2 linked regions of the Mus musculus genome follow. The protein of the gene in region 2 interacts with the protein of the main gene of each other region in a pairwise test. Links are inferred from orthologs where the notes say so. Each region holds a gene or a part of one and is shown on either strand. Other genes may lie near its edges.

Region 1 (3,909 bases), on a different chromosome or scaffold from region 2:
AGATTGATGTTGAGGCTAAATCACTTTGCTGCTGGAAAACCCCAGGCCCAGGTTTATAAAACCACAAAATGAGCCCAGGCCAGAACTGGCATGAGACAACTGCCTACGACATGGACTCTAGCTTGTCTCACAATCCTGTGCTTCTTGTCCTCAGCACTTCCCCTTTCTTACACAGGAGGTGTGACATAGCTTCCACAGGGTGGGGGAGGCCACTGAGAGCCTGGGGCAGCTGGTAGTCAAGTGTTTCAAGGCTTGCCAAATCAAACCAAATAGGAAGCTGCTCACTCCTCATTGGTGAACATGAATTCCAGAGAATGGAAAATATGTGAATTAATAACTTAAGTTTCAGCCTTCTAAACAGAATCCACCTGATCTTCAAGCCAACTGTGGTGACTTAAGCATTATTCCATAACCATGCTTTCAAAAGGGTGCTCAGATCTGAGATCGAGAAACAGGTCATCAGGATAGCCCATGGAGTAAACATTGTGTGTATGCATGTCAGACAGGGCGAGAGGGAAAGAGAGAGACAGAGGGAGGGAGAGAGAGAGAGAATGAACATGCTGTGTGTTTTTACTCACAAGCTCACCACAAGGCACTTAGGAGCCTTACAAATACAAGTCTATTAAACCTCCAGACACAGGACTCAAATCTATAGAAAAAAAATTTTTTTTTTAATTTTTCGAGACAGGGTTTCTCTGTGTAGCCCTGGCTGTCCTGGAACTCATTCTGTAGACCAGGCTGGCCTTGAACTCGGAAATCCATCTGCCTCTGCCTCCGGAGTGCTGGGATTAAAGGCGTGTGCCAGCACGCCCAGTTTAGAAACTGAGAAAAAGATTACTGCCATCTCCTAAGGAGGTGGCAGGGATAATTTACTAGTACCCAGCTATTCAGAAGGTTGAAAACAGCCTTTCAGACTGTACCCAGTCCACTGTCTGATAAAAGAAGCCAAGGCTATCACAACCCTTCATCTGTGCTCCACACTGTTGCTAGGTCTGCATCACGTAATATTTATTTATTTATTTATTTAGGTTTTTTGAGACAGGGTTTCTCTGTATAGCCCTGGCTGTCCTGGAACTCACTTTGTAGACCAGGCTGGCCTCGAACTCGGAAATCCCCCGCCTCTGCCTTCCAAGTGCTGGGATTAAAGGCGTGCGCCACCACGCCCGACTAAGTTTTTTTGTTTTTGTTTTGTTTTTTTTAAAACCATGACAGAGTCTCACTACTCAGCTCTGTCCTGGAACTTACTATGTAGACCAGGCTGGACTTGAACTCACAGAGATCACCTGATCATCTCTGCCTCCTAAATGCTGGGGCTAAAGGTATGCCATGCCCAGATTAACATAAAGATTTAATGTTGAACAAAATTAAACCACCGGCTTGATTATAGTTTTGCTCGCCTTTAGCGAATTCCAGGACAACCAGAGCTACATAGTGAGTCACCATCTCAAAAAAATTAATTAATTAAATTAAACCACTGTATTCAAACCTATGAAAATCCAGTTACAGGTACCAGAATGACATGTGTTAGGTCAAAAGGAAGAAAATCTAACAGCCCAGTTTTCAATTTTAATTGGAGAACTGTTTCATGTGTGTTGCTGGGCGTTCCAACGCAGAAAACACGTAAATCATCAAGATCAGCGCTCTGAACCGAAAGTGAAACCTTAGGCATCAATGTTGAAAATACCACTTTCACTTGTAGATCAATCGAGATTGCATACAACCTTACGCACATTCAACACGTTCCCTCTCGGGGAAATGACATGCCATTAGGGCCTCCTATTTAAAAGCAAGGGAAGGAGGCGAGGACAAGTGTGGGTCCAGAAAGCTTGCGTTCTCACACCCCGCGTTCCGCTGTCAGCCCCGGCAGTCAGCTCATCCAAACTCAAGCTGCTGGCTGGTGTCCATCCCTTCCCCTCCGCCCCGCCGCGACCCCCTCCCGCTTCCGCCCCAGCCCGCCTCGCCGCGTCCGCCTGGCCGCTCCTGCCCACCGAGCCCACGGCCGCCCCGGCCGCGCTACCAGGCCCAGGCCCAAGGCCCGGTCGCTGCCGCAGCCGTCTCACCTGCGCCACTGCCGAGCCAGCTGCGACCTGCCGAGTGCCCGGATGCGGCAAAGGCCGCCGTTTGTTTTCATTCCGGGTGAGGCCGGCCCCGCCCCCGGCTCCGCCCCCTCGCGCTGTCCGGAAGGCCGGTCGAGGACCGGAGCTGCATGGAAGGGTGGGGCCAAGGGGCTTGAAGGGCGATCTGAAGCATCGAACGGAAGGAAGCCCTGAAAACGCGGCTGTGGGCGGGGCTAGTATTTAATGGGCGGGGCTGATATGGGGCGGGACAACAGAGTAGATGGAAATAGGGAGAGTGTAGCTAGGGCGGGGCTGACGTGTAAGGGGGAAGAGAGACAAAGTGGTTGGGGCGAGGGCCGCGCTGAGGGTCAGGCGATCTGTGGGCGGGGCTGGTAGTTTGCGGTGGAGCGGATGTGGGACCGGGCGAGGAGGAAGATGGAGGCAAGGGCCGACTGTAGGTGGAGCTGTTAGGTGGAAAGGCAAGGCTAAAACTGGTCAAAAGCGGTGGGAGGGGGTCTGCTGTGCAGGGGGAAGAGGCGTGGTGAGGAATGGAAGTGAGGCAATGCTAGTCTTCAATCACGAGGTCTTCGGACCACTCCCAGACCGAGTTTTTCAGAGTCAGAGGAAAATGAGTCTGCCTTTATTTATTCCCCAAAAGCCTTGACAGAGCAAGACCTGTTTTCCTGAACCTTTTCTCGTCTTCCCTCTACTAGGCCTAGGGGATCCCCTAGACTAAAGGATTCTCACACTACCCTCCACAATCCCACCAGGATCCCCGCTCATGGTGAAGTTAGGTACGCTACCCATGCCTCCCTCCAGCGGCTACTCCCACCATGAGTACAGTAGATAGAGACATCTGCTTTGCTCAGCGCTGTGAAAAATGCATGTGCCCTTATGTCTATGTAAGGGAACAATCCAAACGGGCATAAAAAAATGAAGACGCCGGGCAGTGGTGGCGCACGCCTTTAATTCCAGCACTTGGAAGGCAGAGGCGGGGGATTTCTGAGCTCGAGGCCAGCCTGGTCTACAGAGTGAGTTCCGGAAAGCCAGGGCTAAACAGAGAAACCCTGTCTCAAAAAGACCAAAAACCAAAAACCAAAAAAAAAAAAAAAAAAAAAGGCCTTTTTTTTTTTAAATACTATGAGAAAAGAAACAATGCTCTGGTGTTGAGCCCCATCTTGCTGCAGACTGTGAGAGGAGGCCTGAGCAAGCCTGCAGGAGCCTAAGCAACCAGGAACCCCAGCGAGGAGTTTGCCAATTGCCAGCCTGCCAGTGAAGCTAGATCCATCATTCAACACCCGCTTCCCACACACGTACTGGAGAACCCAGAGCAGGCCTGCTTAGTCAGTCCAAAAATGCCTGGCCTCACTGTGAATCAGGAACTAAACAAATTGTTATTATGATAAGGATCAGATTTGCAAGTTGTTTGTTATGCCCTCCAAACTGACAAAGCTTTCAGAACCAAACAAAAGAAAGTGACTGTAAACCCAAGAAAACTGTATCTGTAGATAACTGTTTCCACTCTAAGGAAATTGATTAGTTCCAGCACAATCACGACTATATAGAGAAACCCTGTCTCAAAAAACAAAGAAACAAAGAAACAAAAAACTGCCAGGCGTGGTGGCGCACGCCTTTAATCCCAGCACTCTAGAGGCAGAGGCAGGCCGATTTCTGAGTTCGAGGCCAGCCTGATCTACAAAGTGGGTTCCAGGAACAGAGAAACCCTGTCTCGAAAAACAAAAATAAATAAATAAATAAATTTAAAAAAATAAAAAATAAATAAAAGAAAAGAAAAAATAAAGAAAGTTGGGCTGGTGAGATGGCTCAGTGGTTAAGAGTGCCGACTGCTCTT
Region 2 (3,909 bases):
GTGTTTAGCTAAGAGACCAAATTATGTATTCATTTCAGGAAATTTTACTCTGCAAGTGAATTTGCATATAAGTCAAAGAGCAAAAGTAAATAAGCATATACAGGTTCCTGTTTCACAGAAGCAACTATTTGATTCTCGCCACCTATTATTTGTCTCCGAAGACACACATTTCTCCTATGGGATTTGCATCTGTAACCTGAAAGAGTGCCAAAAACTAGGCTCTTTCTCTAAGAGTGTCACAGGATCCTCTTGTGGCTCTTCAATTAGATTTTGCATTTAAGAGAGAAAGTCCCTTGTGTTTCTTCTAATGATGCACCTGCTACTTTGGGAGATTTCTTCTTTTCACAAGAAACAAGCTAAATCTGGCAAGAAACATGGCTCCGGGCTTTCTCTGATGATATCAAAGAGCATTTGTATGTTTTAGATGTTTTTGTGGGCTTCCCTCCTCCTAGGCACAGTGAAGTCCCTCCAAGTCCTTCCAAAACAACCGTGCTCCCAACGATTTTGGCTTCTATTCCCTGTTTCCACTGCACACCTGCACTGAACAGCTGCTTGGACTCAGCAAAGCTGTGACATGGCACACAGAAATCCACGGACCTTAGTCACTTCCTTTCAGACACGGACAAATAGAAACATCGAATTAGCGAATGCAGTACCATTTCAGATGTACTGTCTTGTAAACTCTCTTCACGAACCTCTGAGGGATGATAAAGGTTATGTTCAAACTGATAAAACCTCTTTATAAACCTCCCTTTTAGCAGCATTACTAACATTAGTGATGTTCTATGACTCTTAAGAGAAGTGCCATCATTTACTTTCTGATCTAGACCTGGAAACTCGAGTTATTCCATTATGGGCAATACTTGGTTAATGTTCCCTGAGAAAGAGACTTCTGTGATCAGCCCCCAAATGTCACACATTCTTCTATTAGTTGTAAGGACAGTTTAAAGGTATCTCCCTGCATTTTGCTATGTAGGAAGTAATTTAATATCAAGTCACATCAGAATCAGCCAATAGACACTGCCTCCCAGGTGTGCACACATTAGCATATGGGCCTTTCTACAATCTTGCTCTCTTGACTTTTGAATTTTTCAATGTGTACAAATGAAATACAGATTTGAACTTATTCCCAACTGAGATGTCTGCTTCATAATGAGAATTTTTTTTTTTTTTGCCTGCTTGCAGATTCAGCGCCGAAATGATGCCTGACCATAATGTGTTTAGAGTTGACACCTTGGAGAACTGACGTCTGCGCGAATGTAATCCCCATAAATCTCCCAAGATAGTCCTTATTTCATTTTGCAAACTGTGCCCTGGCCGAGCTCCACAGCACGTGGTGTGTGGGGAGACTGTTGCGGTGGTTGGTGGCTCTTTCTTCCCAGGGGCTATTAGATGGACACTTGTCAGTAATAACCAGGAGGAGTGGCATCCCACTTCCAGCAAGTGAAAAAAAGGGCACAGCCAGCAATGCTTCCTTAATTAACTTTCCCAAGGAAAGCAATGTTCCCGCAGGAAAAAACAACACTGTTTCCACCCTCCTAGCGGCTAGTTGGAAATGAGCAACAATGCAGTTGCCTTTTTGTCTCCTGAAGACTTTCTTTGCTGCAAGCAGTAGCGTGTTCCTCAAAGAATGCTAGTATTTCCTGTGGAAACTGTATGGCTGCCAGAACTGGTTCAGAATATTCTCCCCTTTCTTTTCGAGAAAAAAAAAATGAAATAAACAAAACGTGGCATTTGACAATAGCCAACGTTGGCTTCATCCCTACTTACCACCTGCAGACGAAAGTCACCGCCACTGAGAGGGTCAGAAAGAAGCCTTCCCTAAGACATGGACAATCCCGGGACGCCGGACAGCGCCGGGAGGAGGAGCCGAGGCTGGACGGGGCAGCCTAGGCGTCTCGGGGATGATGGGCCAGGGGCTCTCCTCGGGTAGCGACACCACCCGGCATCCCCTTCACGTTTGTTATTGTTCTGGTTACTAGTGTAGCTATCACCATGCCTTCGCCCCTCCCTGGCAGCTCCTAGGAGCCTTGGCACAACCCATCCACGCCTCCGGGACCATCCGAGGTAGCAGCAAGCGTAACGCCAGCGCAAGGGCCAATGAAAAGAACAATCCCCTGCACCAGAGCCAGGGATTGCGAGGCGGGAGCGACTTGGGTCCCCCGGGGTGAAGCTGCCTGGGTTACCACAACGTTCTCCTCTTGTAGCTCTCTGCAGCGGCACCGCGCGGCCCCGAGCAGAAGGGACCCGAGGCACAAAGGGGGCCCCCGGGGTCCCGAAAACCCTCAGGGTGTCGCCCGGTGCAAAGTTGCACGGGCTGCCCTCGTCCCTCTCCTCCCTGCGGCGCCCGCGGTTGGGACCTGGACTCACCGGAGCGCGGGAGGACGGCGGGAGGGATGGACGGACAGACGGCGAGAGCGGCGGGCGCAGGAGACCCGGCGGGCGGCGGAGGCGCTGCCGCGGCCCCGCTACGTCACAATGCGGCCGGGCGGCCGGCGCCGCACCCCGGGCCCCCCAACGGGCGCGCGCGGGCGGGGACACCCGGGGCGGCGGGACGCTGAGCTCAGGGACGCAACCACCAGGCAGGACCGACAGTGACCGTCCCCCTGCGTCCCGGCCCAGCCCACGCCCCTCAGCAGCAGCCGCCTTCCCCTGGTGTCCCCGGCCAGCGAACCTGCTGCTTCTGCTTACCTCGCGCGTTCACCTCCGCCGCCTTGGCTCTTCCCCGCAGGCTCTCTCCCCTCCTCCCCTCCCACTTTTGGCCCCTTCTTCCCACTTTCTCCCCCGCCTCCCCTCTGGCTTTGCTGCCTCTCCAGCACCCCCCCCCCGCCCGCCCCCCGCGCGCTCTTTCCTCCTTGGAAATGAAATCTTCCCTCACCGCGATCCATGAATCAACCGCTGCCACCTCATTGGTCCCCAAACCATTCCAAGGTTCCAGCATAAAACCGGGAAACGATACTCGGAGAAAAAGGAAGGTGGAACACGGCCCTGGGAAAACTGTTGTGTCTGAGAAGTGTTTTGGCCAGAGTGCTGTGCCTTGGCACCGCGTCGTCATCAACCCCCAACCTTCCCCTCTTCCAAGTCTAGCCCACCCTGAAAGACTTAGCCAAGGATGTAAAGGGGCAGGGCTGGGGGATTTTTACCCAGAATGTTTTGTGCTCCTGGGTGGGTGGCGCTAGAGATTTGGGTCTGAAATGACAGTTGGTTAATTCAGCAGTGTACCCAGGACCCTGTGATAATAGTAACTTTACTCCTAGCATTCCTTATGGTAGGGGCATCAGTGATGCCTGCAAGCGGTGGGTGACCGCCTCTTTCCTATTTCCGAAACAAAATCCAGAGAGAACAGACGCTTTGATAGCAACATTGGCTCTCTGTTGCCCCCTTGGACAGCTTTAAATGACTTTGGACAAATCTCTGTCCCAGGAGTGGGACAAGATTTGGAGTGTGTCAAAGGAAAGCCATCATGGGCTTCATTCTTGTTACCTGCTTGCTAGAGGTTGTCAGAAGGAAGGAAGGAAGGACTGAGTTCTGGTCAAATTAGGGTCATCTTGCCCACCCCCCACCCCTGCCCCTTTCAGCCAGGGTGGGAATGGCTGTGAGAGATACAGGGAAATCCAATACTACCTGGGTGCTGGCAGAGGGATGTATGCCTGCCTGTCACAGAAAATACACTGCCAGTAAGAAAGAAGGGCCCGGGGGTTTAAAAGCTAGGTTGCCCTGAGTAATTAGAGTGAAGCCGTAAGTCGTTCTTATGAGATACATAATTTGATTTTAGTAGTAAAGACAATCAGAGCAGTCCTTGTCCTGCACACATCTGGAATTCTACCTGGAAGACCTACCATAAGTAAATGGCACCCCTAGAAATGACAGCCTTGAATGTCACCAGAAGACAGTTTTAATCCTCCTCCC

Evidence for each region.
Region 1: the proteins of Sncaip (region 2) and Nub1 interact in a two-hybrid assay, tested with the Homo sapiens proteins (2 studies listed by BioGRID). The link is inferred for Mus musculus from reciprocal best matches to the Homo sapiens genes SNCAIP and NUB1.

Annotation. Positions count from the first base shown.
Region 1 is NC_000071.6:24,684,174-24,688,082, reverse strand, and holds the start of Nub1 (NEDD8 ultimate buster 1), read right to left. Parts: upstream 2,269-3,909; 5' UTR 2,132-2,268; coding exon of another isoform or gene 2,061-2,131; intron 1-2,060. UniProt on the Homo sapiens protein: Specific down-regulator of the NEDD8 conjugation system. Recruits NEDD8, UBD, and their conjugates to the proteasome for degradation. Isoform 1 promotes the degradation of NEDD8 more efficiently than isoform 2.
Region 2 is NC_000084.6:52,766,920-52,770,828, reverse strand, and holds the start of Sncaip (synphilin-1), read right to left. Parts: upstream 2,737-3,909; 5' UTR 2,692-2,736; exon of another isoform or gene 1,771-2,691; intron 1-1,770. UniProt on the Homo sapiens protein: Isoform 2 inhibits the ubiquitin ligase activity of SIAH1 and inhibits proteasomal degradation of target proteins. Isoform 2 inhibits autoubiquitination and proteasomal degradation of SIAH1, and thereby increases cellular levels of SIAH.